3 linked regions of the Neurospora crassa OR74A genome follow. The protein of the gene in region 2 interacts with the protein of the main gene of each other region in a pairwise test. Links are inferred from orthologs where the notes say so. Each region holds a gene or a part of one and is shown on either strand. Other genes may lie near its edges.

Region 1 (9,998 bases), on a different chromosome or scaffold from region 2:
GGAGTGGAAGTCCATGGACGATGCGGCAAAACAGGTAGGTCTTTTCAATCCTTCCTCGTCATCCATTTCCCTCTTGTCCATCGTAGTGCGACAGGTTCTTGCCCCGTTCGCAACGACGTTCTTGCCTGACTTGATCACCGTGTTAACAACCGTATGCTTCACCCAGCCTTACGTCGACAACGCTGCAGTCGATAAGGAGAGATACCTCAGTGAGAGAGCTGCTGCCGCCGCCGCTCATGCTGCCGCTTGAGTGTGGTTATCACGCCCCTCGACGCCCCTTTTCCGGTTCGGTTCATGTGAATTTATATGGGCTCCGAGCGACCTCCATGAGCTTCGTTCGTCACACAATTAGCCGGCTCGTTGCCGATGCTCCGTCGCACTCTGTTGTTCGAGTGGCACCGAAATGTATTTGTAAGGTTGTTGGGGAAGCGAGGCGAATCATCGGATAATCTTTATGGATCAATAAAGGAACGAATGTGGGTGTCCAACTAGGAACCCAAATAAAGAAGGGACCAGAAGTACACTGCATCGCAAAGCCTCAAGTTCATGTACACGAAGAGTAGTCATGGGCCAAATTCAAGTTTGGTTACCCCCCAATATCACTGATACCAGGGGCTGTAGGTTGTTAAACGCCCGCAACTCATCAGCTGAGCCCGCAACTCCCAGCTTCGGTCCACTTTGAACCAGGACCAGTTTCCCACGCCCATTCAAATCTGCCACAACAACCTAGAGCCCTACCTCGCACTCAACGTGCCCACCCCCGTGGCCATTACAGACCGCGACCTAGCTTCCATCCTAATGACCACCTCCCCGTCCCCATCCACCCATTCCGTCCCTGTATACAGCACCTCCCGCTTGCTAATTATGTACAAGACAAGGTATAGGTGACCAACCACCGCGCCCCAGCAATACAATCTCAAACGAGTGAACGCTTCATCCCGCGTGCACCAGACCCCCCAGCCCGCCGCCCCGCTACCCAGGTAGTCCGCTAGAAAAAGCCAGCACGACTCCTTGAGCTCGCGGCCCCATGACGTGCAGTCCACCAGCCAGTAGCCCCGCTCGTAAGGGCGCGTGGCGCGTGTCCGGAGTGAGGGCTGGAATCGTTTGGGGAGTTTCAGGTCGATGGCGAGCTTGGCGAGGACGGGGGTCATCAATGAGAGATCGTTTTCTGCTTCTCCTTCTCCTTTCTCCTTTGAAAAAGAAGATGAGAGATCGAATACGTGATCGGACGTTGGAGGGCAGGGCGAATGGAGCTCGAGGACCGACGAGAGGCGGGCGCTTCGTGAGGCGATCTGGTTGGATTTGATAGCGTCTTGTCGGGGGCCGATATCACTGGAAGAGCGGACGAGGGGCTTTCCGGAGCTTGAGATTGGGTTTGCGGAAGATGAGGGGACGGACAAAAACGTCAATGAAGCGGGCGTAGCTGATCGTGATGATGGTGCTGGTGCTGGCGCTGGCTCGGGACATGTGCGGCGACACTTGATTGGTGGCGGTTCGGATTCGGTACGGGATGACGATAGGCATTGCTTGGATAAGTCTTGTTTGCAAAGGATGGTGTCGGTGGCTGGAACTTGCTCTTGGACCGCAGGCTGTGATGATGCTATCGTGAAGTCGCTGTCTCGGGAGGAGGGAGACGGCCCATGCTGGACGGGTCGGCGGCGCTTGTTGTTGGCGTTTATCACTGGCGAGAGAGGTATAAACTTTCCTCGGGGATCTGCTGGTGTTTGGCGTCTGGGAGAATATTCTGTGATTGACATGCGCCTAGCGAGTTGACGACATGATAAATCCCTTTCTGATGGCGCAGCAACATGAGGTTTCTTGGCCCTATTGATCAGTGAACTGAGGGTCCTTTGAGTACCGCCTTCCGCCGCATGTTCCTGGCTATTCCCTTGTAAAGAAGAATCCGGTGGTAAGAGCGCTATGTGAGGCTCACCGCTAGCCACCTGTCGCCGCTGCGAGATATGGCTGATGGTGGGGAATGTCGAGTATCCCTCATGCTGACTCTGGATCCGGGCGGCTGTTGGTTGCTGTCCACTCGGGGCCCTCTCTATGACTGGCGACAGAAACTGACTGGAATCACCAGGATGTAGATAGTCCTCTAACAGCCTTGTCGGTGTGCAAAACTGAGACAAAGTCACATTATTGTCTGGCAGTGAATCTTGAACAACGCTTGCAGGAGGTTGCCATGAAACCTGTGAGTATTGGCTAGGCTCATCGTGCCTCATCCGCAAGCTGGGCGATGCTAAATTGTTCGCGGCATCGCGCCACGATAACACCGGTGTTTCGACAAATCCTGCTACTTCAGACGACCGAAGGATCTGATCCGGTTGCGTGGAGGGTCCTAGGGAGCCATTTCCAACGGGCTGAGGCTGCACGGCGGCCTGATGAACTACGACATTTGGTGATATTGTCTTGCTGAACACGGATGTGCGCGTGGTGGGTTCAAAGTTGTTATATGCATTGGCGAGTGCTCTATAGTTGGCATCGTCTTTCGATCTGCTAGGAGCTGTGATATGGACGAGGATTTCGGTCGCGGATTTTTTGTTCATCACACTGCGTCAGGGCACCAGTTTAAGCTGTGGTTGTCGAGTGCCATGGAATGGGCTGGGCTGCGTTGCAATCGAGATATAGAAGTTGGAAGTGTGCTGGATCATGGGTTTATGGGTAAGGGTGAGACGCTGGATGGAAGGCTGTTGCCTGACAGACAGTAAAGTGTTCCAGATTCTTACGAGGTGGAAGTGAAGAGAAACGCCGTTGTGGGAGGACAACGAAAGGGAGCAAATGCGCATTGTTGACTGGCTGCACGACGGGATCTGGCAACAAAAAAAAAATGGAAAACCGCGTGCCCGTCGCATTCAGTTGGGTACCTCTATGTGCAGGCGGGATCGATAGTACTAGGTTCCACCTTTATGGCAAGGTCTCACGATGTTGGAACTTGGAAGATGGGAGAGCACGGGTCCCTGTGCGCCTTCATCCACTCAGGTCCACTGCGAGCCGCACCCCGTCGACCTTGATGGACAACAGGGGTCCTTCATTTTGCCCTTCTGTAGGTTCCGCCCAAAATCCAGCCTCTTAAAAAGGGGTCACGATGTTTTCCACAGGCGTGTCGCCGTGTCGTACCTCACTGGCTGTCAAGAGCTAGGTACAGTAATTTCCCCTGAAAGTGCATGTAATCCGGGCCAGGGGTTTATATGCATCTAGAGGCACATATGCACTAGCAGGCACATGCCAAGTCTTTTTGCTCCCTTAGTATGAAAATTTCAGAGGTTCAGAGAGTGCTAGCTTGCCTATAAAGTCCTAAAAGGCCCTGAAAAAGGTGTTCCAAATAGTGCATATTACACCGAAATGGCCGGCCGTTTCACATACAGGGGCATTCAAGCACTTATGCGATTTCCCATACCAACTAATTGCGGCCGCCAATTTCTACGCATCTAGAGGGCTTTATGCATTATCAGGTGCATGCACTTTGAGGGGAAATTACTGTAAGTGGCGTGCTTGGAGCCGAGACGCGGAGCCAGAGACACAGTGGCATGTCCCTGATAGGTTGCAATTTGTAGCTCAAAATGGCATCCTTGTCCCCCGGCTTCGAAGATATCCTACCCATGATCCCACGTCCCTTGCTCTAGAACTAGACAGTTTCCCAATTGACCCTCCTTCAGTCCATCTTTCCTGCCTTTCTCCCAACGCTCCAATCCATTGCTCTTCCCTTGTCGATACCCCGCATACATCCCACGATGGCCTCAGAAAAGAAGCCGGAGCTTGGCTCCGTCATGGTGATTGGCGGCTGTGGCTTCCTCGGTCACCACGTTGTCCGCGTGCTCCTCCGCGACTACATCTGCTCCGTTTCCGTCATCGACCTACGCTGCACGCGGAACCGGCGACCCGAGTCGGATGGCGTCCAATACTTCGAGGCCGACATCACAGACCCCGCCAGGCTCGAAACCATCTTCAACCAGGTCAAGCCCCAGGTCGTCATCCACACCGCGTCGCCTGCCGCCCAGTCCAACGACAGCGTCTCTCATGCGCTGTTCAAGAAGGTCAACGTCGACGGCACCGCCGCCATCATCAAGGCGTGTCAGCAGACGGGCGTTACCGCCCTCGTCTACACCAGTTCCGCCAGTGTGATGAGTGATAACAAGTCCGACCTCATCAATGCGGACGAACGTTGGCCCGTCATCCGTGGAGCCCAGCAGAGCGAGTACTATTCGGAGACAAAGGTACCCTCCTACTTCCCCTCTCTCCCATATCCCCCAAGAGTGATGCATCCCAAAACTAACCTCCCCCTCCCTCCAGGCCGCCGCCGAAGAACTGGTCCTCCAGGCCAACCGTTCCGCTGCCGCCCCTTCCCTGCTCACCTGCTCCATCCGTCCCTCAGGCATCATGGGCGAAGGCGACACCATGACGCTGTACCACCTAATCAAACTGTACCAGAACGGCAAGACCTCGGTTCAAGTCGGCGACAACGATAACCTCTTCGACTTCACCTACGTCGAGAACGTAGCGCACGGTCACTTGTTGGCCGCCGTCGCCCTCCTCCAAACCTCCAAGCTCAAGATCGCCCCACTAGACCATGAGCGCGTCGATGGCGAGGCCTTCATCATTACCAACGACTCGCCCGTGTACTTTTGGGATTTCTGCCGGGCTGTGTGGAACGCTGCGGGATCTCCCCATGGGACTGAGCACGTGTGGGTTTTGCCGCGCGATGTTGGTATTGTGCTGGGCTTTTTGTCGGAAGTCTTCTTTGGGATCATTCGCAAGCCGCCGACGTTTAATAGGCAGCGCATCATTTATAGCTGCATGACGAGGTACTACGATATTTCCAAGGCTAAGAAGCGGTTGGGATATAAGCCGCTGGTGCCATTGGATGAGGCGGTGAAGAGGTCGGTTAAGTGGACGCTGGAGCAGCAGAAGGGGGAGAAGTTGCAATAGGTATAGCAGGCCTTGAATGTGGAAGGGATAAAGGGTGTGGTGGTGGTGGTGGTGAAAGAAGCAAACATCGACGGAAGGCATGATAACTGTATATGAAACATTGGACAAGCGCTGATGAGGCGAAATAAGTCGGGCCTTGCGTGCTGGAACGCGCCGTACTATCTGTCCCGCTGTATAATAATATCTAATGACGACATTTGGATGACGGACGACGAGGCATGCCTCTCTCAGACATGTTGGCCGGATGAAGGGGTGAGCTGGATATTGATCCACGGACAGATGCTAAACATGTCACGCGAAGCTACGAAACTCCTTCAACAAAGCCCAGACTGAACAGTATGATGCCGGTGCGTGTACGTAGTTTCTAGATTAGGTCTGTTACCGGTCCATAAGTGACTAACAGAAGCATTCCGATCTTGATCGCTCGCTAAACTTAATTCTCTTGCTAATCCCATACACCATGATACCCTAACGCCATGCTATCCCCTTCGTAGGCCACTTCAATTCCTTCATATGTCTTAGGAAATGTCAAGTTCAGCGCTTGGCTCCTTTCCTGCCTGTCGTCCTCTCGATCTTATCTCTTCCAGGCGTGTACGGCGCTGCAATACCAACCAATCTCTGCGATTGTTCATTTCGTCCTAGTGTTGGAAATTGTCCTTGTCCTTGCCCTTGCCCTTGTCCCTGTCCCAATGTCTCCCCTGGTGACTGCTGCGCTTCTGTTCCAGCCGTGGTCGCCATCGTTGTCGTTGGTGGCGTAGAGGTCCGGTCTGTTGTTGCCGTGGTATCTCCCATGGCATAACCACTTCCATTACCAACGCTAACAACGCCCCCTCCTGGTGCTGCTCCTGCTGCCGCCGCCGCTGTCCCTCTGAATTCATATACTCCCCCGACACTAAGAACCGCAGGTACCCCCAGCGTAGGCGCCGTCAATTGCTCGCGGTGCAGCTTATCAAGCGACTCGCCTACGATGGCGTACTGGGCCCAGTTGATGGGCGGACAGCGGACAACCGTTTGCGGCTTGGGAAGGGAGCGCCAGGTTTTGGAGAGGCCCTGTGGCGGTTTTGTTGTTGTTGTTGTTGTTGTTGTCTTGCTGACGCGGTCTTTCCTCTTTGGTACATTGCGTCTGCTGTTGTTGCTGTTACAATTATGGGTAGATGTGGGTGAGGTATTCCCAGCGCCGGCGCCGGCGCCGGACATGGATATATCGCCGTCTGGGTCGTGCGGTAATCCCGAACTCGATGGGACCGCTGCTCCATCATATTCGCCATCATCGCCATCATCTTCGCCATCAACACTGTCTCCTTCTGAGTTCATATCCTCATCCCCATCCTCATCCCCATCGTCATCCCCATCGTCATCCCCATCGTCATCCCCATCGTCATCATTGTCGTCATCGTTACTACTACCATCACCAGTAGGTCCAGGCCCATTAAGCAACGGATCACCATCCATCCCAATCCTCCCCGCCGCCAAGTCAGCAACGAACGCCCCTGGGTCCGAAAGTGCAGCAGCTTTGGCTCGGTTCAGCGCCTGTATGTCTGCCGTGGCTCGCTGGCGCTGCAGCTGCAAGATGGTGATGGCGCTCTTGAGCGCTAGCACGTCCGGGTTGTCGTCGAAGGCTATGGGTTGCGGTGGCGGCGGAGGAATGCCGACTTGGTCTACTTGTGAGTGCGTGAATGTGGGTCGCCCTCGGGCGAAGCTGGGGATGTTGTTGTTGTCATTGTTGTTATTACCATTATTGTTAGTGCTTGTGAAGGGTGGCGTCAGTGAGTGTGATGATGTTGATGCTGATGATGAAAAAGTTGTATGTTGTTGACGGTGACGATGGCGATGTGCTTGTTCATGAATTGGACCATCTCCATGGCCATCGGGACCGGACAACCGTGCCGATTCCTGAGTCGGGGTGATGGGGCTAACGGGCGGGCGGGTCGGTGAGGGCGCATTTTGTGGGGTCTCCGCATCAGGGGCTCCGACATCCCCGGCAGTGCCGCTCGAGCCGATCGGGCTGGTGGTCCCGGCGTCCGGGGAGACGCGGGTGGTTATTGTGAGGCCCGGCATGAAACCCATTGGACGAGTGCACGATTGCGCCCAGAAAGATATGTCTGTGTGTGAATCCGCCCCTTTTCTTATGCTAGAAGATCGGGAAAAAAAAAAGGGGGGGGGGGGGGGGGGGTGAGGGGCGGCGGGGGGCTCAACCGCAACAATCAATCAGTCTGGCGCGACTAGTGTAAATGAGTAGTAGCCTTGCCGGCTGCCAGGAACTTCAGTCCTTGCTGAGAACACCGGAATGGAAGTCGCCGGGTGTTGTGCAAGTTCTGTTCAGTTCCCTTGTTGTAATAACTATTATGAAGCGGTTGGCTCAAGTTGGATCATCCGTTCATCATTGCAGCAAAACAGGCAGCTGCACCCTTGTCGACGGGCGTTGTGATGTTTATAGGCGACAGTGGCCAATCCCTGCGCACGGAGCAGTGAAGTCGGGAGGTTTGTTGGAGAAGATGCTACAGTAAGTATGCTGCGTTGAGTCTATCTGATTATGTAATCTTCCATTTCGGGAAGGCTTCGCTTTTGCCCCGTAAGTATAGTCCCTACTATAGGTGACTCCGTCCAGGTCTTGGCGCGATGAGTTTGTTTTCCTCGGGGAACAATCTCCAGTTACTTACCTTATGATGAGTCCGACGACTCCTGTCTACCTATGTAGGTAACTACTATGTACGGTTCTGCCTATACTATCTGATCCAGCCGGTAGTCGACGGACAGTATCACCGCATGCAACGGGTGAACCGCACGAGACATTGTTGACCGTTGGCCTCCATTTACAATACACTACATGCAATGGAAGCTTCGCAGGCTGCAGCCGAGAGCTCGGTTGTACATTACACGATTTCCGTCCTGTAGCTCTTCTTCCCACTTTTTCTTCCTTTCGCCTTTTTCTTTTCTTTTTGTTTTTCCTTTTTGTAGCGGTGCCGCCTTGGGAGGGGGGCGCCTTTTGCTTTTTCGTTTACCCAGCCGCTAGGCCTCTTTCTGTTAAACTCAAGTCCGGTCTTCCACTGCATACCTCTACAAACTACGAACAGTCCAGGTCTGTCATGCATGGAATATCTGAGCGCGTACTAATCGGGCTGACAGCCGAGCCTTCATCCCTTAGCACCCGCACTTGCCTGTGGGTAGGGGGTATGTCTCTCTCTCCCTCTCTCAACTCGAAAGGCCAACGACCGACCATCCATACAACTGCAGGTAAGGGTCGTATTTGGTGCTTTATCCAACATCAACAGCAATTTGGACGGACGCCAAAATCGATATAGATGTTGGTGCCAGTTATTGATGTTCAAGTTCCATATCCCAAAGCCTTGTGTGATGCTGTTCCCGGTGGAGTGGCCAGACTTCCCGTCCAGTGCTGCACCAACAACGCCAACCTGGAATAGTTGCGAATCGGTGGCTTTTGTTTGGCTTGGGGGAATGCCAGTAACAAGGCACCTCGGCTGCATCCAGGTGGGCTTGCATTCATGTTATCACTGCCAAGCGGGATGGTAACTCTGGGATTTCTCCAAAAATTTTAATGCTGTAATTCGATCATGTTCCCTACTGGTTGCTTTTCACGATACTGTAGTGCGCGCAGCATTCGGAGAATCGGTGAAGGCGCTGTTCCACAAGTGCACTAGCTGGGAAACTGAACGCCCCGTTGATCACTGATACGCGCACATGGCTTCCACGTTAGCAATGGAACACGACCCTTCAGCTCCCGGCCCCGCGGTCCTTGCGCCGGTTGTGGTTATTGGCTCTCAGGAATCGTCGAGATAGTCATCTTAATTCGCACATGTGGTAAATGCCGTCACGACCATGCAGCAACGGCTTTGCTTTTGACTCGCTAACGCGCATGCTGTCTTGCGACATTCAAATATGCAGCTGAATTCTACACACTGCGTAGCACTACGTTACCGTACCTATCTTCTCTAGTCTACTCGGTAGCAGGGTACTTGGCCAGACCCGCTTCGGTCTTCTAGCCATCGGAATTTCTTCTAGACCATCGGCTGTCTTCTGCGGACAGAATCTGATCAAGCTTAATATTGTGCTTCAAGCACGTCCATTTCTGCTCCTATTCGTGTTTCCCGTCCAGCTCTTGTCGTGATTCAGTTGCGTGATAATTCCCAATAATTTATTTGCAGATATCGTGTCTTTCTTTCTTTTTCTCTATTCATTTTCTTTCTCTTGTTTTTATCTTTCATATTTTTTCCCCCCTCGTTGGGCGGCCCAAATTGTCTTCCGACCCGAACATTCTCGACGACATATCATCAGATCGAGACCAGAGATAAGCGTTTAAGCTCGCCAAGCCCAGACACCACTGTTTTGTAAGAAGGACTTGATTATTTCACCATAGGTCAGTTGATACCGCATGAGATTATACATGATTTGTCGCTCCTTACTGACCCACGTAAAAGGACGTTCAGACTTTCACACAGATTTCTTTCGCAGGCTGGCCATTCGACTTTCAGACAACGAACTTGGTAGCCGGAAAGGCAGCAGCGACGAGATTATACGATGTTCTCATGTCAATGATGGACCTCATTATCCTTCTCGGTCTCGGATACAGGCCGATTTCTTCACGCAATTCCCTGACGGGTCAAACTTTCCAGATATAGAAGCCAAGGTTTCTGATATAGGCTGCTCCGGTGTCCCGTCTTGTGAAACCGAACCTACTGTGTAGTTGTTGCGGTCTCGGTTCTAAGCTGAGGCTTGCCAGATTGTACCTGCCAGTTGGTGGCCGAGCGTGGCCTAATCTTTTCCTGGGCTGAACGGCCGCTTTATTGGACGTAGTTTCACACCGCTTGGAGAAAAGCTTCCGGAGTCGAAAGGCACCTACACAGGAACAGGACGTTTGTCAATGTACCAAAGACCGGATATATAAGCTACCACCATTTTGAAGCATCTTGGCAATTGAAAAAAGTGTTGGCAGGTGGGACACACACCCACGGATACTCCACGAAAACTTTCAAAAGATGCCCAAGACCGGCAGCAGCAGCAGCTTTCCAACACGAGACGACGACAGCATCATGGCCGTCCAAAGAACATCA
Region 2 (9,976 bases):
AGGGCTGGGAGGGGCGACGGAAGAGAGGGGGTGGAAGAGGGATATCAAGCGGACGGAGAAGAAGCTGAAGAAGGAATTTGGCGACAAAAAGGGACATGTGGCACGCTTGACGGCTGTGGTGAGGGTGCCGGAGGGGTGTGAGGATGGGTATTTCCGGGTTCATTTGTGCGTCAACCCAGATGGGTCAGAAAAGGACCACGAGAAAAGGAAGAAGAGTGAGAAAGATCCACAGTCGCTGCTTGAAGAGCAGCGGAAGAAGATGAAGGTGTTGTGCTCGAGCCCAATCTTTAGGTTGGCGAGTACATCCACTGACCCTTCGTCCATCCGCGGCGCCTCTCTGTCGACCATGCCGCTGGAAATGGGCATCTCCCTCACCTCTTTCATTGCATCAGAGATGGTCGCCTCCAAAATTGCGCCGATCAAGGACCCGATCACTAAAATCATCGATCCCTACCGAGCGCATCCCATCGTTGAAGAACTAGGAATCATTGCTACCGAGGAGGTCAAGGCCGCGAGGGAAGAGGCCGAGGCGGAGGAGCAGGAACGGTTGAGGGAGTTATTTGGTGCTATGTGTGTTGTTGGTGCTGGTGGTGCTGCTGCAGGTATGGCGACGAGGAGAGGGCCAGAAGGACGTCAACAAGGGAGCGGAATGCCGGGCGTGGTTGGGCCCGACGAAGGACCGTTGGCGCCGCTGCCAATCCGGTTTGGAGGAAAAGTGGTTCCTGGGACAGGGAGAAGCACAGCGGAAATGGGCATCCCCACAGCCAACCTCAAAGACCTACCAGAGGAAATCAAGCACTACTTCAAAGGCGTGTATTTCGGCTATACTCGCATCATTCCCGGCAAGGGTGGCCCCATGGGTCCCGGAGGCCCAATGGAGGAGGTCTGGTATGAAGCGATCATTTCCTCGGGCCCGGTGCCGTACGCGAGGAAAACAGCCGTCATCGTGGAACAACAGACCACGGTGCACCTCATCACCGATTTCGGCGCGGGCGTAACCTTCTTTGGCAGCAAGGTGGAAGTGTTGGTCATGGGTTTTCTGCATCCAGTGTTGGACTATCGCGAGACTGGCCCGCAGTACCGGCTCGACACCGCCCACCAGGATGTCGTTCTTGCTCTAGCTAGTCTCAACCGGCCGAGATGGACCGCCCAATCCACCCTTCAACGCATGGAAGCCGCCGAAACAAACGCGGATGGGGAGAGGGGCTTGACAGGAGGTTTCAGGAGGACCAAGGTGGTGGAAAAGGGACAGGAAGTCAAAGAAAAGATAATCGAGGCCAAGGATGCGGTGGCGAAGCAGATCGATCGGATACCGGTGCATAAAGTGGGAATTAGAAGGGACGATGGCAAGGCCAGGGATCGGTATTATGGGACGGGAGGGTATTGGATTCCCAGATGTTAAGGAGTTATGGTTTCACTTACGGGCGGGATAACCGAAAAGTTTCTCTAACTGTAATGTATTGCTCTAATGGAGATGAGAGTAGAAGACTAAGTAAGGTGTAGAACAAGGCAAGGACACCTCCCCGGGCTGGCCGCCGGAAAATGATATTTCAAGAGACGGTTGGTCCAACCTATACACGTCAGCCCCAAAGACACCAGACGTGCCCTCACCCCACCAGTGCTGCTGTCATGTTCCATGCCGGATACTCAATGCTGCCCCGGAATTCCCGCCAGAATGTCGTCAAAAGTTGTGGCTCTTTGCCTCCTCCCTGTCGCCCAACGATGTACTCTAGACCCATTCGCATTCCCGCCGTTACTTGCGCCTCCAGTTCCCGGAGTCACGTCGTAGTCTGGATCAGCGTCTTTGCGCTTGCCTGTTAGGAAGCGAGAGATGCGGGAGAGGGTACCTGCTCGCTTCAGCTTCGAGCTTCCGTCTTGTTCTTGTGGTGGCGATGGCCGAGGGTCCCAACTGGGGGTGGAGGCAGCACGGCTTGTGCGAGTCGTGTTGGAGCGGGGGAGGGTTTCTTTTTCCGAGTAGTGGTGGCCGTCACGCTCCTTCTTAGTGGTGTTTCTCCTCCCCAAATCCTTCTCGTCGCCGTATCCGGCATCTGCCTTTTCCCTTCGACTCTCCCTGCGACTGGGCCTCCTATCCGGCTTCTCCCTGATACTAGCAATTCGATCCATGACAGAATCCACCCTCTTCCTCGTGCTATATCCTCGTTTAGGCTTCTCGTCGTCCCGTCGTACCGCGTTATGGTCACCAAATGGATCGTGATCCGGCCCTTCTTCAAGGACATAGCCTGGTTCTGTACCGTTGTTGACCTCTGGGACCTCGACACTAGGTAATGGCGTCGGAGGCTTGACTGGGAAGAGTTTGCCGTAGGTGGCGCCGGGTGCGCCCTCCCATAGGGTCCCATCGGTGTTGTCGCGGTAGGTGTAGACCTGGGTATCCGCGTCGTAGCCTATGCGGGTCATGTTCTCGGGTAGACGGTCGGCGTCTGTGTCGAGCTCTTTCCAGCGGCCCATGGCGACTCGATAGTCTGCTGGGTTGGGTATTCTTCTGTAGTAGGCGATCGGTGAAGAGATCGCAACGCGGTATTGGAGATATACTGGGGGAGGTGGTGGTAATGGCGACGACGTCGATGATGTGGGGAACAATCTAGAATAGGTAGAGCAGTTGTCGGATGACGATACGGATTTTGATGCGGGTGTGGACAGTCGTAGTAGGAGGAAGGTCGCCGTGATGGGTACCAAGTGTGGTTCGAGGCTAGGAAACTTTCTGTTTCGAATCAATTCCCTTTGGAGTTGATGATGTTTGTTGTTGTTGCTCTGACGGATGTTTCCTTTCGGGGTCGTCAGGGTCCTCAGAGTGGATGCGGGAGGAGCTTGGACGCCGTGCGGGTCGGACGATGATGTCACCTTTGTTTGTGTGTTACCCCTGGCCGGCGACTGGTTCGGTTGGAATGGCAACGCCCACGTCAAGGTACCAATTTGCCCAATTTGTTTCAGCTTGGTGATAATGATGGGGTGGGAAGGATGTTCCTAGGAATTCAAGGGTAGAGGGAAGTGTTGGGATCTTTGTAGGAATTGCGCATGAGTGATGGACAGAGGGAAAAATGGGGACGGACAACGCTGGATGGAGACGCACTGGAGACACTGGAGAATCTGGGGAGTCTGGCAAATCTGGACCCCTATCCCATCCTCTAAGCCTCCGTGATCAACGACTTGTGCGCCGCTCATTGGACACGACGCCTGTAACGTCGAAACGGATTGACAACTGACAAGTGTAAACACGAGAAGACCAGCCGCACTGGAGACTCTGGCTCAGCTGTTCACTGCCCCTTACGGACCGACAAAACATCCAGGGGCAGCTGCAGAGGACAGGAGTGCGTAACACGTCACTTCCTTCCGATCCCGCTCGCCATGTCATAAGGTCAAGCGTACCTACTTTCATAGTAGCGACGTGACGGGTGGCTTGGATCCATGAGTACTGTAGTTTCATTATATCCCTATCGGGTCTAGCTGTTGGCTTATTCCGTTACACTATTCCTCACACCATCCACAATTCCTCGCACCAACTGCAGATAACAGAGGAAGCTCCGCCGGGTATCCAAAACCACAACCACATAACCACAGAACATTATCCATCGGGCTAGTAGATGCCAGGGACAATTCTCCACTTGACAAGCTTCTTGTACTTTTCCCAATCGTCACCATACTTCTTGGAGCACTTCTCGTCATCTCTGAGGTCGCGGTGGATCAAGAGAATAGCAAAGTACAAGATGTAAAAGTAAGTGAAAACGATACCCCAGCCTCTCGCCTCGCCCTGGACAACCTCGCGCCCGTCAAGCATGGTAATTGCACCAGGGGCGTTGCTGCCGGCGCTCAAGATCTGGTAGCCAGCAATGCCGGTCGGGAGAGAATAGGGCCAGCTCTGAAGCCAGTCACCGAGATAATTGATGTGGCGAGCGATGCCCCACCATCCCGAGGTAATGAGTCGCGATCCAGTCTTGGTCTGGAGGTAGGTAAGGTGCTTAACACTAGGATCCTCGGGGTTCGTGCGAAAGTTGTTCTTCTGCGAGTTGGACAGGCGGAAGATGCTATAACCAGCAGCCAGGACAGCACCAACAGCAATCAGTCCGAAAGCGCCCAGCTGCTGAGGATGGACGGAAAGGTAGCGAGTCTGAGTCGAGTACATGAAGGGCACCCAAACGACATCTCCGAAACTCAGCATGAACCCGAAGCCGTCGGTAGTGATATCCATCGTAGTCAAGACGGCCGGCTCCATGTAGATTCCGTCAAAGACATAGAAAGCCTGGATGGCAGTGATGAAGAGAATTGAATCGGTGACGTAACCGTAAAGGCGGTATTGCTTGGCGATGAAGGCGCAGTTCAGAATGATCCAGCCCAGAAGACCAGGGCGCATTTCCATGAATTCCTTGATGTCTACTTGGCCGATGAGGGGCAGAGTGATGCGAGGATTGAGCTCGCGACCAATGTAGAAATCGTAGATGAGGGAGCCGGTGACACCGCCTGCTGCTAGCTGGCGCATGTCCTTGTTGCCCGGCTTCACGTCAAAGCTGCGAACGTAGACGAAGATGGCGAGGGCAAAAGCGAAGAGGATATTGGCGCTGATGATCTGGGCAAAGTTGTCGGAAATGAAAGTCCAAACGGGGAACTCGGCGCCCTGAGCGATGGTGCCGGCAGCCAGGATGGCCAAGGTGCACATGGCCGAGTTGAAAGCGTTCAGCTTGTACTTGAGCCGGCCGCCGGTGCTCAACTCGGTTCCCTCGACGTGGTGGCCGGGGAGAAAGCGGTATTGAACGAGCGAGAGAGCGTAGTAGCCCAAAGTCCACAGCGTGGCGGACCACGAGAAGAGGCCGAAGACGCCATTGTCAGGCCAGCCGATTTCGCGCTTGAGCTGGGCGAGGTCGAGAGACTTGGGGTGGAGGAGCGAGGGCGCGGGGCAGCCCGAGATGTCGTTGCAGAAAAGGTTGAAGACGTGGACGAGAATGGGGAGGCCAAAGGTGATGCCAAAGGCGCCGATGCTGTTTGATCGTTGTCAAGCTTGTTAGCGGGGCGTGGTCTGGACACGAACGAGATGGAGTCAGGGGTTCTGTTTTTGGTTGACTTACGGGCCGCCAAACTCGTAGTGCTGCTGGCGCGGCGCAACCGCCTTCTTTGGGGCAGCTTGGTTTTGCTTCCCGGCCATGGTGATGCTGGCTGTGATGCTGTAGACGACAACACGGAGAGCGGGGAGAGGATCAAGCTGCCTTTTTAAAATGTTCAGCTCCCCGATGTTGGTCGTGGGACAACTCAGCCGGCAGCCAACCAGACAACCGGAACAGTGACGGTCCCCGGTTCGGACGAAGAGGAGCCAAAGGACGGGAGCTTCGATGGGCCAATTGGGGGGCCAATTGACTGCTTCAATTAGGTTGCCGGCTGGGAGAGTGGAGCCAATCGACCTGTCGTGCCAGACGGATCTCTGCTTTCCGGCTGGGATCTCCAGTCTTGGCAACCTTCCTTGGCGTCTAAGTACTACTCGCTGTCTATGCTCAAAGTAAGTACTCCTGCTCACTCGATGTCCTCAAGTCGGTACCTTGCTTCCAGATGACCGTATCCGCGTATTGCTGTCTCCTTCGCAACTGGAGATCCTGATCCGGGCTGCTGATTATCCGAGAGGTGAGCAATGGTACGATTCCATAGTTCGAGCCGCTGTCTTGCCTGCCCCTCATGTCCAATCTCTCCTACCTGTTGGAGCAGCAATGTACCTTGGCGAATTCCATCTTGGTGTGGATGTACCCCTGATCTTCCCGGTCCAAGGAATGGGCCAATCATGGGAGACGTTGGATCTTGCTGGCCACTCAAAGACATGGAAGGCAGCCTTTACTTTGCTCGATTCAGTTTTGTTCCAGTGACGACAACAGGCACTCTTTGTTCTGCGCGCCACTTCCAGAACGGAAAGCCATCACCTAACAATTTCCACTACTGTACGACAAACAAAAAAACAACCAATTCTTACCACGAATTGATCTACAACCTCCGTCAACCCCGCGACTCCATCAGCAGCCAAATCGATCCAGACGGGACCTACCTCTACCTACCCACCCAATCCTTGGTCGATCCAAAGTTCTAGTGTAGTGTATACTACCTCTACCACTGCATGCAATAACCCCTCCTGACGCCGCTGCCACGAGTCACAATCATCACCACCACCACCAACCATACCACGAGCGAGCGCCACCGAGCGCCTTGCCCATTTCAGTTCCATCTCTCCCACTTTGTTCCATCACCAGTCCCGATATCGATCCCGATCCCGACCCCAATTCACCAAAAATGCATGCCCCAAGTCCCAGCCGGCTCCTCTCGAGCCTAGTCGCCTTCTGCGCCCTGACCGGTGCTGCCCACGCCTCCGATGACGAATCCTCCTCCGCGTCGCCCTCCCCATCATCAACAGCCACCACAACCTCCACCGTAACACCCTGCGTCGCCACCTCCACCAACGGTGCCTTCTACGACCTCCGCCCCGACATCGCCGTTGTTCCCGAAAAGGGCGTCAAGCTCGCCCGGGGTACGCACACCCAAGACTACCAAGCCCGCGGTTACGATTACGGATACAACATCACGCTCAACATATGCGCCCCTGTGGTGAAGGGCGTCGAGGATGTCGTGGGATTGACGAGCGAGGCATGGGCCAAGGTCGGTGCCTGGTATGAAAAGGGTGGCAAGGTATACAGCCTAGGGCAGGAGTCGGGAGCATTGAAGCCGAGAGGAAGGAAGCTGGTGCTGCAGTATACAGGAGGGTCGCCGTGTGAACCACCAGAGGACGACAAGGACGACAAACGGAAACGAAGCACCGGTGTTCACCAAGGCGCTGCGTACAGCAAATACTCGGACGACGAAGACGAAGATCGTGATGACGACCAGACCGACTCCGACTCCGACAAGCGGAAACACAGCAACGCATCCAAAAAGAAAACCCGCCGCAAGTCCGCAACCATCTCTTTCCTCTGCGACCGCTCCCCAGACACTTCCACCGCTGTCTCCTTCGTCGGCACCGACCCCGACGAATGCTCCTATTTTTTCGAGGTTCGCTCGCAACACGCCTGTGCCGGAGCCGAGCCACATAAACCGGGGTCCGTGGGTCCCGGAGGAGTCTTTGCCATCATCTTCTTCATTGCACTGGCGGTGTACGTCATTGGTGGTGTTTTCTACCAACGCACCGTCGTGAAGCAAAGAGGGTGGAGGCAGTTGCCCAACTATACTCTATGGGCCGGTATCTGGAGCTTTCTCAAGGTAGGACGTGCTGTTTCCTCTTGGCTCGGTTCCTTTGTGCGGGTGCAGGATCGCAAAGAGATGAGCAAGGTGTAGTATGAACGATAAACTGCGAGGGCGTGAACTGGTGAGGGAGCAGAAGCCGGCTGTGGTTGATACTTTCTACGGAGCCGTCATGCTAACTATCGATTGCGCAGGACATCTTCGTCATCCTTACTTCGTCCTGCGCTCGCTTCTTGCCCCTGCGCCGCGGATACCGATCTTTGAACACGTCGTCTCGTGGCCGATACGGTAACAACGACGACGAGAATCGGTTGATCGATCAGCTTGATGAGGAGTGGGACGATTGATTTCAACCTAGGCGCGGTAGTAGAAGTGGGATAGGTATGCTTGTGGCTCGTTTCTTCCATGTTCTTGTCTTTCGGAGTATCTGTTCTATCAATGCTTCTCTTCTGCTCGAGGCTGGTCCTTTCTTGGTCTGGCCGCTTTGTCTATCCACAGCATCATTGGGCCGGTCCGGTGTTTGGTGGTATCGAAAGACCCACGAAGCCTGTGGCACTTGAGGCACAGCGGATAGTTTTTGGTTATAGACTTTTGTATACATTTTTTCTTCCATCGCAGTACTTCGTTCGGTGTACGAAGGGTCAGAGATTCTGCTGCTTTGTCATGATGAACCCCCCCCTTTGCTACAAGGTCTCGTGCCCTGTGATCCGGCTGCTTGTACCGGAGTTGCAGTCTTCGCGCTGGCTTTCTTGCTTTTTATAAGCACAGCGCTAGACGCATCCGGTCATCGATTCCTCCATGCTTCCGGTTGTACTGAAAATGTCGGACCGCAAACCTTGCAATCGCGCTAGCAAGCTGCGGGTAGGGTTTCAGGCAAGTGAAATCCTGTTTCCGTTGCCAGTTTTGTTGACAAAACGTTCGGAACCGGAGGGTTAGTCAGGGGGCGGCGAGGTGGTATTGAAGCGTACCCCGGAACCCAACCCTCGACCGCAACGACAAATCTTCTTCCAACACCAAGCTCCAGTCATACACTCTACAGATCATTTTACAGGATTCTTGACTAGTCAATGGATTTTGCTAACCTCGTTTGACATCTCAAATTCTCATGTCTGACATCTTCTACCGTCGCCGTATGAGTAACCAAAACTCTCGGTTAAATGCCGCCCCTCGATCCTTGGCAGCCGCCCATCGACTACTCCCAAACTGTCAACGGCACACCATCCGCCGTTTCCCGGTTTCCGGGACTGTGGCTTACCATCCCCAGACACATTCCCCCACGGCACTGTCACTCCGTCTTGCCAAATTCGCGATGCCAAGTAGATTAACCACTCCATTCTAGCCCAGTTATGGTCATTCAGTCTACCGATCCTCGTCAGCAGAGACTGAAACAGCGCCGCACCGCGTTCCCGATCAAGTCTCCTTGCACCCCTTTCGTGTGCGATTATGGCACCTCACCTACAACAGGCTCCAGGCGTCACCATGCCCCCCCTGCTTGCCGCTCCGAAGTGGCCGGGGATGGATTCCCGGGGCAAGATCATGGGAATGACAGGACCAGCACTTAATGGGGATGACAGTTGGATTCATGCTCCGGGGTTGGAACCCAATTCAGGGACTGGCTGTGCCGTATCGCCGATCCGGTCCTTGGATCAAGTCCTAACTATCACAGACAGGATAAAAAGCTCAACCACACCCATAGAACGCTCTTTCTCTCTCTCTCTCCAGATCGCTCACGACATCCTCTACGTCTCACTCACGCACCAGCCCAACATGCGGTCCACTCTTGTCACCGGCCTCATCGCCGGCCTACTCTCCCAACAAGCCGCCGCCCACGCCACCTTCCAAGCCCTTTGGGTCGATGGTGCCGATTATGGCTCGCAATGCGCTCGCGTCCCTCCTTCCAACTCCCCCGTCACCGATGTGACTAGCAATGCCATGAGGTGTAACACGGGAACTTCGCCCGTTGCGAAGAAGTGCCCTGTCAAGGCGGGAAGTACGGTCACTGTTGAGATGCACCAGGTATGCTGCCATTCTCCTGCTCTCGTCAACCGCCGGCTTCGCCCCTGACTGCCTTCCATGCGGAGCAGGTTCTCAAGAGTTACCTGCTTTTCCCTCCCTCTCTTCTCTTTCCTCTTCCCTCCGCCACCTCCTTTTTTTTTTTCCATCCCGCCTGTTCATGTTCGCCTCAGTCACACCCTCCCGTACCGACGCTGACCTATAAGCAGCAAGCAAATGACCGCTCCTGTTCCTCTGAAGCCATCGGTGGCGCTCACTACGGTCCCGTCCTCGTGTATATGTCCAAGGTCTCCGACGCCGCCTCCGCCGACGGTTCCTCTGGCTGGTTCAAGATCTTTGAGGACACCTGGGCCAAGAAGCCCTCCAGCTCCTCGGGCGACGATGATTTCTGGGGCGTCAAAGACCTCAACTCGTGCTGCGGCAAGATGCAGGTCAAGATCCCCTCGGACATCCCCGCGGGTGACTATCTCCTCCGTGCCGAGGTTATCGCGCTCCATACCGCCGCAAGCGCGGGAGGTGCCCAGTTGTACATGACCTGCTACCAGATCTCCGTTACCGGTGGTGGCTCCGCTACCCCGGCGACTGTCAGCTTTCCTGGTGCCTACAAGAGCTCCGACCCTGGTATCCTCGTTGACATCCACAGTGCCATGAGCACCTACGTCGCCCCCGGACCGGCTGTGTACTCGGGTGGAAGCTCCAAGAAGGCCGGAAGCGGCTGCGTGGGCTGCGAGTCTACTTGCAAGGT
Region 3 (9,587 bases), on a different chromosome or scaffold from region 2:
GGCAGGCATGACAGGCACACTAGTTCTAAGGGTTTAAATTGTCGATCAACAAGTGTTTATCATGACAGCATCTCGTTGTTTCTTGGGCCTGCATAGGCCTAGACTCCTCACAGGTCATGTGCCTCTGTCTTTGATCCTGGCTTCAGCTTCTTGCCTTGCCAGTTTCCGGTGTCAGGTGGTTTCCTAGTACCTTCCGTCGCTTTGTTGGATTTCAAGTTCCATTTGTTTCCTTCGGAACAATCACCTACCTAATAATCCAAGCATCGGATCCTTTCTGCTCCTCCCCTAGGTATGTGCGCAAAGCTGCCTGGCCAAGACTGGCGCCGAAAAACTTTCCGATGACGTTTGGATGCTGTGTGGACGGCAGGCGGCTCCGGCCTTTCTCATGCAGCTAAGAGGTTGCTCTTACCTTATACCTTCCCCATCCAGTCCCCAAATCCCATTCTCTTTAGTCAAGTTTCTTGGCAACTCCCACACTCTTGCCGCTCGGCTGCCCGTGCGGAAGACGTCTGGCGAGATTACTCGGTCAAGCTTTCAGCGCTCATCGATCCTCAAAACCGCAGTTTACATCTGATGCCTCAACTCTTTGGCGATATTTCCCGTCATTGCGCATAGCATTATGGCATGGAGTCCGTTCCAATGCGACCTGTCATTTATCTGGAATATTCTCTGCCGTTGACTGACGCAATGGAGGGTGGTTCATTATCTACCGGCGTCTCTGTATAACACACTGATACTACCTTCAGTTCTCGGAGGGTCGTCGTCCACGGATGGATTCCTCCAGGAGGCTCAAGTCGTCGTCGTCGTTCCAGCTATGTACCGGTGTCTGCAACAGTGCTTGGCAGTGGCCTCCCTGACAGTACGTACACCCGACAGGCCAAAAGAAAAAAGTCGGATCGTTCAAAAAGGCTCGCAGAAAGGACGGACGCTGGTACGTGTGTAGAGCTGGATGCCTGGTTGGTCTCAAGCGGGCGGCGGATCCCTCTTTTCTCTTACGTACAAACCGGCTCACTAATACCCTTTCGGAGCAGTCCCATGGCACTTGAGTTACCCTCCCACAGGCGTCCTTGTCGTCCACCACCGTCGACATTGGCAACGTTGGATCGGCATTGGCTCCCGATTTCGCTGCCTCGTTCCCCTTGCGAATACCATTTCCGCGGATGTCGCCTATGCAAGGAACCAAAGTTCTCGGCTGACCTTTTTTTATTTGTGTCCAGAGAATTGTCAAGAACCTTGCCTCCGGATTCTGTTTGGCTCTTCGCTGAAACCATACAACACGACAATATTTTGACACTATCGGGAGCCTTGCCGACCGATAGCAACACTGGCACGTGAAGCGGCGAAGCCCATAGCCGTAACGCACCTCGGGGGGACCTTTTTCAGCGCACCGCAGTGCCCTACGAGCCTACGAAACAGGAAGCTTGACAGGTCCCGTTTCTTCCCCGCAATTTCTGTCCCACTGGCGCTCCTGCTGGCGGGTCAAAAGAGCGGGGAAAGAAGGAAAGGAGTTCTGTTTGGTTGCCGTGGCGGTCAAGAAGAAGAAACAAGCAGCGGCGGCGGCACCATGCCGGCGTCAACCCATCCCGCTGGCGTTTCCATCAGCAGCAGCGCACCCTAATGCGGCACGAAAGCACAGGAACATGGCGACACTGGACCTCGCTCCACTGCCGGGTTCCACTGTATGACTTCTAGAACCATAAATTCGGCCTAGTTGTTCGCTCGAGCAGTGTCACGCGGCCCGTTGGAAAATTTGTTCTGATGTGAAAATTTTCACACCATACGTCCTACCTGCAATGCAAGGTGGCCTTGTGGCCTTGGGCAGTCTGGGAGTACGGATTCGTGGAGCGGAGGTGAGTTCGGTGTCCCGGTCATGAGAGATCTTACCCGTCCACCCCTGGAAGTGCCAGGCCGGTCAGCACCAGTGCGAACGGAAGTATGGGCCCACGGGGGCTTCATCCACTTCATCTACTTCGGATGAGGGAAGAAAACGCCTCCAAAGGGGAAACCTGTTATCCCAGAGAGGCTGTCATGCGTGAAAAAAAATGAAGTCCTGATCATGCAAAGGTGATGATTAAAATAACATGTTGCATCTCGGTTGCTGTATGCTCTACTTCGGATGAGGGGTCTAAAACTCCAAAGCCAACCAACCGCACGATATCGAAGTTGAAAGCCACCATTACGAGAAACCGATGATGAGGAAAATGGCGATGACAGGCGGGGACGCAGATGGGTCTGGGTTTCCTGTTGACAATGTCGATCAGCCTTGTTGGCCGGTACCGCTACCCAGGAAGTCATTGATAAACTGCCTGCCGCCCGGTCGAGATAATACTCCTCGCCAAAGGCCTCTCTCTATCTCGCTGTTCGTAATCTCAAAACTTGAGAATAAGGCCTGACGGCTTTACGCACAGTCATAGGCAACTTTTGGTCATGAGGAAATTTTATGTGCCATCCATGACGTCTTTAAATAAAGATGAGATGAACTGTGGCCGAGTGCTGATCCTGAGTCTCCATAGTCAAACTACGACAACTCGGTAGTACTAAGCTGAACGAAGTACAATCTACAGTGACAACATGGCGAAGATAACGTCAGGCGCTTAATAGTATTCTCGCAATTTTATATTCCTGAACGTCTCATGAAAGCCACGTTGAAGGTTTGGAAGACTCTAAGCTGGTCTCAAAGCTGTGTTCAACCTCTGTCCAACACTAAACACAGTCTGGTTATCGACAGAGACCCAGACTGACGATCGTAACTACATCTCTCTTGTCCAGCAACAACACTCCCATCATGAGAGCATCATGGCACGAGCAATGCTGTTAAGTATTACGATATGTTATTTTGGAAAATCCAATATTTCTTTCTTTGAATTAATTACCTCAGTCTCATTCAAAAACAAACCAATACTGAAATCACCCACTCCAATGATATCGTGATCTAGTCACACTCGTGTTCACCCATTTTGCCTTATTTATGTAGCATACCTTCCTTCAGGAGAAGAAGAGATCACAGTGGGCAACATGCCAGACTCTAAAGGCGTTGTCCATGGAAAACGTAACCCTCAGTGCTTGTATGCTTTCCCCAAAAGAAAAGTTGATGAAATTGGAATAAATCGAATCGTCATTTGTTCGTAAAACCATTCATCTTCGTCCAGCTTGTCGTTTCGCCGTCCCGTCTCGCGGCGCAGTGGCGTGGTGATGGACTGGCTACTTTGGCCGAAGTAAAATGAGGATAACAGTAAACCGAGGTATAGCCAGCTGTCATCGTAGGAAGGGGGGAATAGACTACTTGGTGGCATGAAGTCTAGAGCAGGAGATAGGCGTGCTGAGAAATGCCGAGGGAGTGTACACATGGATGTTAGGAATCGTGATGTTTGCGCGACGGCGGTTCAGGGGTTACCTAGTGATGTATAGATATGTAGAAAACATGGGCACGGACATGAGCACTTTGCCGAAGAGAGAAGTGAAGAGAGGAGTGAAGAGAGGAGTGAAGAGAGAAGTGAAGAGAGAAGTGAAGAGAAGAGAAGACAAAGCACCAATACAGAAGTCTGTCTGGAAGCGAGCGGGTCAGCTGTACTAAACCAGAACACAGGTATAATAAAGCCAACCCGTGCATTCTCTACGAAGGTTTGTGACAACTACCTCAGGGCAAGGACTCACCAGCGAATGTGCAAACAGAGGCGACGAACATTTCCAAAAGAGAGTATCTTTGTAGTAATGTTTTGACTACGTTACCGTAGATTGTGAATATAGGTATGGATATATCTTGATCTAACCCAAACTCCGGTCTAGCGTAGACGCCGCTTGTGCCGAGAAGCCTTATCTCTACTCTATATTCTATCCCATGGTTTCCAAAACCTTCGTAAGCAAAACACCCTTCGCGAAGGGGACAGTTCGTAAAGCACAATGCTTAGAACTTGCCCTTGAGCAAGTTGCTAATCATCTCGCGGCCGGTGATGACGGAGGTGCGCCAGAGGGTAGGGAAATCGAGCGTGCTGCTGAGGGTATCGGCATAACCGAAGAACAGCATGGGAGGGATCCAGCCGCGCGCATACTCGAGCGCGAAGCAGCTCTCGGGCATCCTGTACTGCTTGACGGTACCGCGGACGAGGTGGTGAACGGAACCGGGAGGGTAGACCTCAGGCTCGTACTCGCCGGGGACGTAGGCAGTCTGAGTGCCGGTGAGGATGTGGAAGTAGTCGTCGGCGGTGTGGCGGCCGGTGTGACCCTCAGTACCGATGGCAGTGCCTGTTGTGTGGAGTGTGCTGTTAGTGATGGGTCTGAAGAAGCGGGAAGCACAAGCTTGCGAAACGCGTGCTGGAGGATGGGGCTTACCAAAGATAATCAGGTACTCGGTGATGGAGGCGTGGATGATGTACATAGCACCCATGGCACCACCAGCGTTGTTGAACACCCACTCCTCATCGTTGTTGACGTAGGGCGCAACGCCGTTGCGGTCGTTCAGCTCGTCGACAATGTACTTGACAATAGCCTTGGTGTCGTTGCCGTGGGCGCTGATGGCGCGCTTGGACAGATCGTGAAGGTGCTCAGTATCGAAGACGTAGAAGGACTCGAGACGCTGCTCCAGGACGTAGGCGATAGGCGCAACTAGGGCGAACAAGATGGCGAAGAACTTGAGCCAGCCACCGATACTGCAGCGGCAGCGGCAGCTGCAGCGGCAAGACGAACCGGAGGAAGAGCGGCCGGAGCTAGAGCCAGAGCCGGACGGCTTGTTGCCGCCGGAGGAGGACTGCTTCTTGGGAGGCATTGTGACGGTTTGTGATTGACGAGACGGCACAATGTCGAGGAGGAGAAACAGGGGAGAGAGAAGACGGGAATCTTGAATTATAAAGAAGCAAAACAATGGCCACAGAGATTCCACCACCGACAGGGGGGTCCGTCAGCCCAACCTCAACAAACCTACCCACGGCAACCCCTGATTTCCTTGTGGAGGACCCTTGTGGTTGCAACATGCCCGCCCAGGCGGGTGTTGCGACTTCCGACACGTTCGATTTTGAGAGCTTTGACCAATAAGGACGCTCAATTGCGCGGATAGCGTTAAACCGATTTCTTGAAGGAGCCACCGCTACGACCAATTGGAGGCAGACACACCGGCAGGCTGGAGTGCATCCAGAAGCTCCGTAAAGCTCCCCTCGCCGGCAGGGCAGCTCAAGTTGCCCGGCAGCACTGTCGGTGCAAAGCACTCAGCGCGGCACTAACAGCGCTCTTGGCACTGACAGGGGTTTCTATTTTTTCGGTGCCCCTCCGTCATTGAGTCCCGTCCGCGGGCCCGGTCAATCACATTTCAATATTCCATCGAATGGACATTTACCTCCACGTACCAGAAGCTCCAATCTCAGTTGTTATCGCCGCGGGGTCCGTTTTGTCGCATCGTTATCTTTTTTTTGTTTAGTTTCCCTCTGCGCGTCGCACCGCGTCTCATACTATACCACTTTTACCCATTCGCAAACTTTTGTCATCGATAGCTCCATCAACCTAGAACGACCGACACAATGGCGAGCACATCCTCTTCCCCTTCGATGGCCATCCCCGGCCAATTCCTAGGCCCTGTCTCCAAGTTCCAACCCGGTCCTGGAACCCATATCCACGAGTCGAACCTCTACTCTTCGCTGCTCGGCGTCGTCAACATCACACAGCCCGCCAAGGCGCCTGGCCCTGCTAAGCGCTTGAACAAGATCATCAACACCCAGACCACGCCCGCCGAGCTACCGACCATCTCGGTATTGCGTTCAGCGGGTTCGTCAGACAAGCGCGAGGTGCTTCCTGAAGTGGGCAACATCGTGCTATGCCGGGTGATTCGCATCATGCCGCGCCAAGCCGTTGTGGCCATTCTAATTTGCGGCGATACTGTTTTGGAGGCCGAGTGGCAGGGCCTGATCAGAGTGCAGGACGTGAGAGCAACAGAGAAGGACAGGGTAAAGATCTACGACAGCTTCAGGCCTGGAGATATTGTCAGGGCCGAGGTGGTGAGTGCTCTTCTCCTCTCCCTTTCTGCCAGACATGGACTGAACACTTCCGCTAACGTGCTGCCACCCACTAGATTTCTCTTGGTGACCAAGCCAGCTACTACCTGTCGACAGCGCGTAACGAGCTCGGTGTCATCATGGCGACAAGCGAGGCCGGTAACACCATGTACCCCGTCAACTGGAAGGAATACAAGGACCCTGAGACGGGGCTAAGCGAACCCAGAAAGGTTGCGAAGCCCTACTGAAGTCGGCGGATGGAGTTTCGAAATGAGACATGAAAAAGATGCTTGAAAAGCAATGCATAGCGGAGTTACTAGCTTGAGGTACAGCGTGTTATCAAGGCGATACGGGCGTTAATCTGCTCGGAGAGCTCGCCGAGTAGTGAAAGCAGGTGCTCAATCAGTACCCGGTTGGGGACTTGCAAATGCGGCGGCACGTCGAATGTCGAGCTCTCACGGTCCGCCGGTCCATCATCGACACGGTCGGCCACTCGCATCACAAGCAAGCATCCCAGCGACAAATCCAAGCCCAGAGATGTCCTGGCCCCAGAGTTTCCGGCGGATACTCCAGGTACGCCAAGTTAGACCGCGCAGAACATGGTCTTGGGTGATAGGGCTCGCACTCAGAGAAGTATGGAGATGGGTACATGTCACGATTCACTCTTGACACAGCGGAACAACACAGTCATGATACAGCGCCTGTTTCAGGGATAACGAAGACGATGGCGAGTTAGTATGATCTTGTCACGTCGAGGAAAGATATAGTGACGCCAGACACGGCTACGCCTGTCATTGCATCAAGAAACTGGATACCCGTTTAAAATCTGCATAGAAGATACCAATAGCCTTCTTCATACGTACCTTACTATTCCCTTGCATACCTAGGTACATACCTCATCTGTTGTCTGTGCCGTCATCCGCCGCCTGGGCCAAACGTTAACGAGTGCTGTTTCTTTAAGGCGGCTCAAGGGCGGCTTGGCGTCTCGTATACCCCCCACATGGGCCTTGCATCGTGCATGCGGTACCTACATACCGCTGAAGATCATCGGAACGGCGGGGGGGCGTAGAACGGGGGAGGGCGGTAGATTCCCGTACGTCACCGAAACCCTGCGTGCCTAGAGGTACCTAGACACATTCATTCCACCCATTTCTTGTCCTCCCTTTTACAGCTTTGTCATTCTTCAAAAAAGGAGGAGGCAGAGTGGGAGCTCTGGCGGCGTGTTGGTTAGCGATCTCACTCAGCGCCCCCCAGATACACAAAACAAAGTCTAAGACGAAAACAACAAGCTCCCTGCCCCTGTTTCAACGGGAACCAGTCCATCCCCACCGCAACGGCGTCTCCATCTAGTTTTCTTGTTCCTGGCAGGAGTCCACTTCGTTCCCGAGAAGAAAATATCGAGATCAGACGAACCGCTTCAATCCATCATCTTTGATTTTCGTCCAATCCGACAAGACGCGCGAACTCTCCTTGTCGATATCATCTGTCCTAACGGGGCCCTGGTGAGCCATGTCAACCACCGCCACCATGACGATGACCGCCGCCCCCGTCATCGTCGAACCGGTCACCCAAACGTTATCTACCGCTCCTTGCTGCCCACAATGCGGTATCGATCTCGAGGGGACCCAACCCTTCTTGGAGATGCAGGCGGCCGTTCTCGATGCCCACAACAAGATCCAAGAACTTCAAAGCCAAGTGCGCCTGCTCAACGAAAAGGCTTCATCCGCCGTCGATCGTTGGGCCGACTACGAAGACGAGATAGCCCAACTACGAGGGCAACTCAAACAGCAGCAGCAACAACAACAACAACAACAACAACAACAACAACAACAACAACAACAACAACAACAACAACAACAACAACAACAATCCCAGTCCTCCCCAGTTGCGTCCCAAATATCATCACCGCAACAACAGCAACAACACGCCGATGCAGCCCTCGCCACCCCTCCCCAATCCGCAACCCCCTCCACCACTGCAACAGCCAACGCCTCCCCCGCCGCCCCTCGCAGCGTCAGCTCCGTCTCCTCCTTCCTGCCCACCGGCGCCGCCTCCCGTCTCTCCGCCTTCTTGACCTCGCGCAAATCAACGCCCAACCTCAAATCCGCCCAATCTTCTACCGGCCCTGTTCCTCATATGCCAACGCACCAATCCACCCTCTCGCAATCGTTCACTCTAAGCAGCCCCCTTCAACAACCGTTCCAGTCCACCTCCCCGTCCCTTCAGCACCAAAAAGAGATCTCCGACCTCCAGGCAGCCCTATCCCAAGAGAAATCCCTCCACACGGAAACCCGCGCCAAGCTAGCCAAAGCCGAAGCGAAACTAACCGCCACGTCGCGTGAGATTGAGGAGTTATCGGTGACCCTGTTCTCGGAAGCCAACGAGATGGTCGCGTCGGAAAGGAGGGCGAGAGCGAAGCTGGAGGAGCGGGTAAAGACGCTGGAGAAGAGAGACGAGCAGAAGAAGGAGAGGCTGGAAATGCTGGAGGGGGCGGTGAGGAGGATGGAGAGGGTTAGGGACGTTTTGAAGGAGACTTCGCAGGTGATGGAGCGGGGAACACATGGGAGTGAAGAGGGAGAAGAGGATAGTGATTACGAGGGGAGGTTACCGGTGGCGGTGATCAGGAGGCAGAACTCCAGGCTGGATCTGGATGATTGACGGTTGAAAGGAAAAAATAGTAATATCTAATGGTAACCTCCGGTGACATACAGGGAAGAATGTTGGTAATCCTAATATAATGTAATGACGGGGATCAGTGGGTATGTAACTTACTTAGTCTAGATCTTGGTTTTGGGCTGGCATCTGGCGGGGGGAAAAAGGGACACCAGGGGCAGGCAGGCAGGCATCATGATGAAATTGCATGGTCGGCAGGGCTTGGTTCTTTGGATATAGACGGAGTCGGGAAGGAGCACACATGGCAACAGCATTTGCTGGATACCTCTAGCACTCTAAGAGGCATGATAACAGTGACCTCGGAATAATCATAACTGCATTAATTTGGGTATACTTTGCTTTATTTCATTTTCGCTTGCTTTGACAATAATGATTTCTTTTATGCCTTCGCCCCATCCTTCGCAGAAGCGGATTCTTCTACGTTGACCTCATTTGTGGGCTGCTCCGGTGTTGGTGTCGGTGTAGGCTGCTTCTCGGTCTTGTCGTCTTCGGCCTTGATCTCCTCGGCCTTAACCTCCTCAGTCTTGACTTCCTCCTTCTTGACTACCGGCTCGACAGCCTGGGCCTTGCCCGCCTTGTCCTTGTTGTTCCACAGGTCCAAAGCCTTCTGGATCTTGGGTGCCCAGACTTCCTCACCCAGGGCAAGGTCGGAGTACTCCATGCAGTTGTCCGTGCCCAGGACAAACTCGCCTTGCCTGGATCTAACCAGTTCAGCCATCATAGCGCCGCACCCAAGCTTTTCCCCCAAGTCGTGGCACAGGCTGCGGACGTAGAAGCCCGAAGTCACGGTCATGCGAATCTTGGCAGCAGGAGGACCCTTGCCCTCCCAGGGGAACGGGGTATCGGGCGACGGTGGAGGAGGAGCAAGATCCAAACCCCTGTTTTTGGCGTACTTGTCCTGCTTCTTGTCCTTGCCCTTCTTATCTTTCAGAGCGC

What was found.
Region 1: the proteins of erg-3 (region 2) and NCU02693 interact in binary tests that used the Saccharomyces cerevisiae proteins (3 or more experiments, as listed by UniProt). The link is inferred for Neurospora crassa OR74A from reciprocal best matches to the Saccharomyces cerevisiae genes ERG24 and ERG26.
Region 3: the proteins of erg-3 (region 2) and erg-1 interact in binary tests that used the Saccharomyces cerevisiae proteins (3 or more experiments, as listed by UniProt). The link is inferred for Neurospora crassa OR74A from reciprocal best matches to the Saccharomyces cerevisiae genes ERG24 and ERG2.

Annotation. Positions count from the first base shown.
Region 1 is NC_026501.1:3,220,266-3,230,263, reverse strand, and holds NCU02693 (C-3 sterol dehydrogenase/C-4 decarboxylase), read left to right. Parts: upstream 1-3,534; 5' UTR 3,535-3,734; coding exon 3,735-4,217; intron 4,218-4,293; coding exon 4,294-4,929; 3' UTR 4,930-5,357; downstream 5,358-9,998. Other genes in the region: NCU02695 (hypothetical protein), read left to right, coding at 1-34, 167-250; NCU02694 (hypothetical protein), read right to left, coding at 735-2,549; NCU02692 (hypothetical protein), read right to left, coding at 5,464-6,996; NCU02691 (uncharacterized protein), read left to right, coding at 9,924-9,998. UniProt on the Saccharomyces cerevisiae protein: Sterol-4-alpha-carboxylate 3-dehydrogenase; part of the third module of ergosterol biosynthesis pathway that includes the late steps of the pathway.
Region 2 is NC_026503.1:5,233,671-5,243,646, forward strand, and holds erg-3 (c-14 sterol reductase ERG-3), read right to left. Parts: upstream 5,317-9,976; 5' UTR 5,153-5,316; coding exon 5,076-5,152; intron 4,989-5,075; coding exon 3,593-4,988; 3' UTR 3,416-3,592; downstream 1-3,415. Other genes in the region: NCU08763 (hypothetical protein), read left to right, coding at 1-1,402; NCU10567 (hypothetical protein), read right to left, coding at 1,648-2,466; NCU08761 (vacuolar sorting receptor), read left to right, coding at 6,277-7,236, 7,413-7,565; gh61-5 (endoglucanase II), read left to right, coding at 8,986-9,234, 9,441-9,976. UniProt on the Saccharomyces cerevisiae protein: Delta(14)-sterol reductase; part of the third module of ergosterol biosynthesis pathway that includes the late steps of the pathway. ERG24 reduces the C14=C15 double bond of 4,4-dimethyl-cholesta-8,14,24-trienol to produce 4,4-dimethyl-cholesta-8,24-dienol.
Region 3 is NC_026505.1:5,016,376-5,025,962, reverse strand, and holds erg-1 (C-8 sterol isomerase erg-1), read right to left. Parts: upstream 4,970-9,587; 5' UTR 4,763-4,969; coding exon 4,330-4,762; intron 4,243-4,329; coding exon 3,905-4,242; 3' UTR 3,655-3,904; intron 3,547-3,654; 3' UTR 3,272-3,546; downstream 1-3,271. Other genes in the region: NCU04155 (exosome component 1), read left to right, coding at 5,508-5,981, 6,056-6,226; NCU04154 (hypothetical protein), read left to right, coding at 7,488-8,636; NCU04153 (pseudouridine synthase), read right to left, coding at 9,031-9,587. UniProt on the Saccharomyces cerevisiae protein: C-8 sterol isomerase; part of the third module of ergosterol biosynthesis pathway that includes the late steps of the pathway. ERG2 catalyzes the reaction which results in unsaturation at C-7 in the B ring of sterols and thus converts fecosterol to episterol.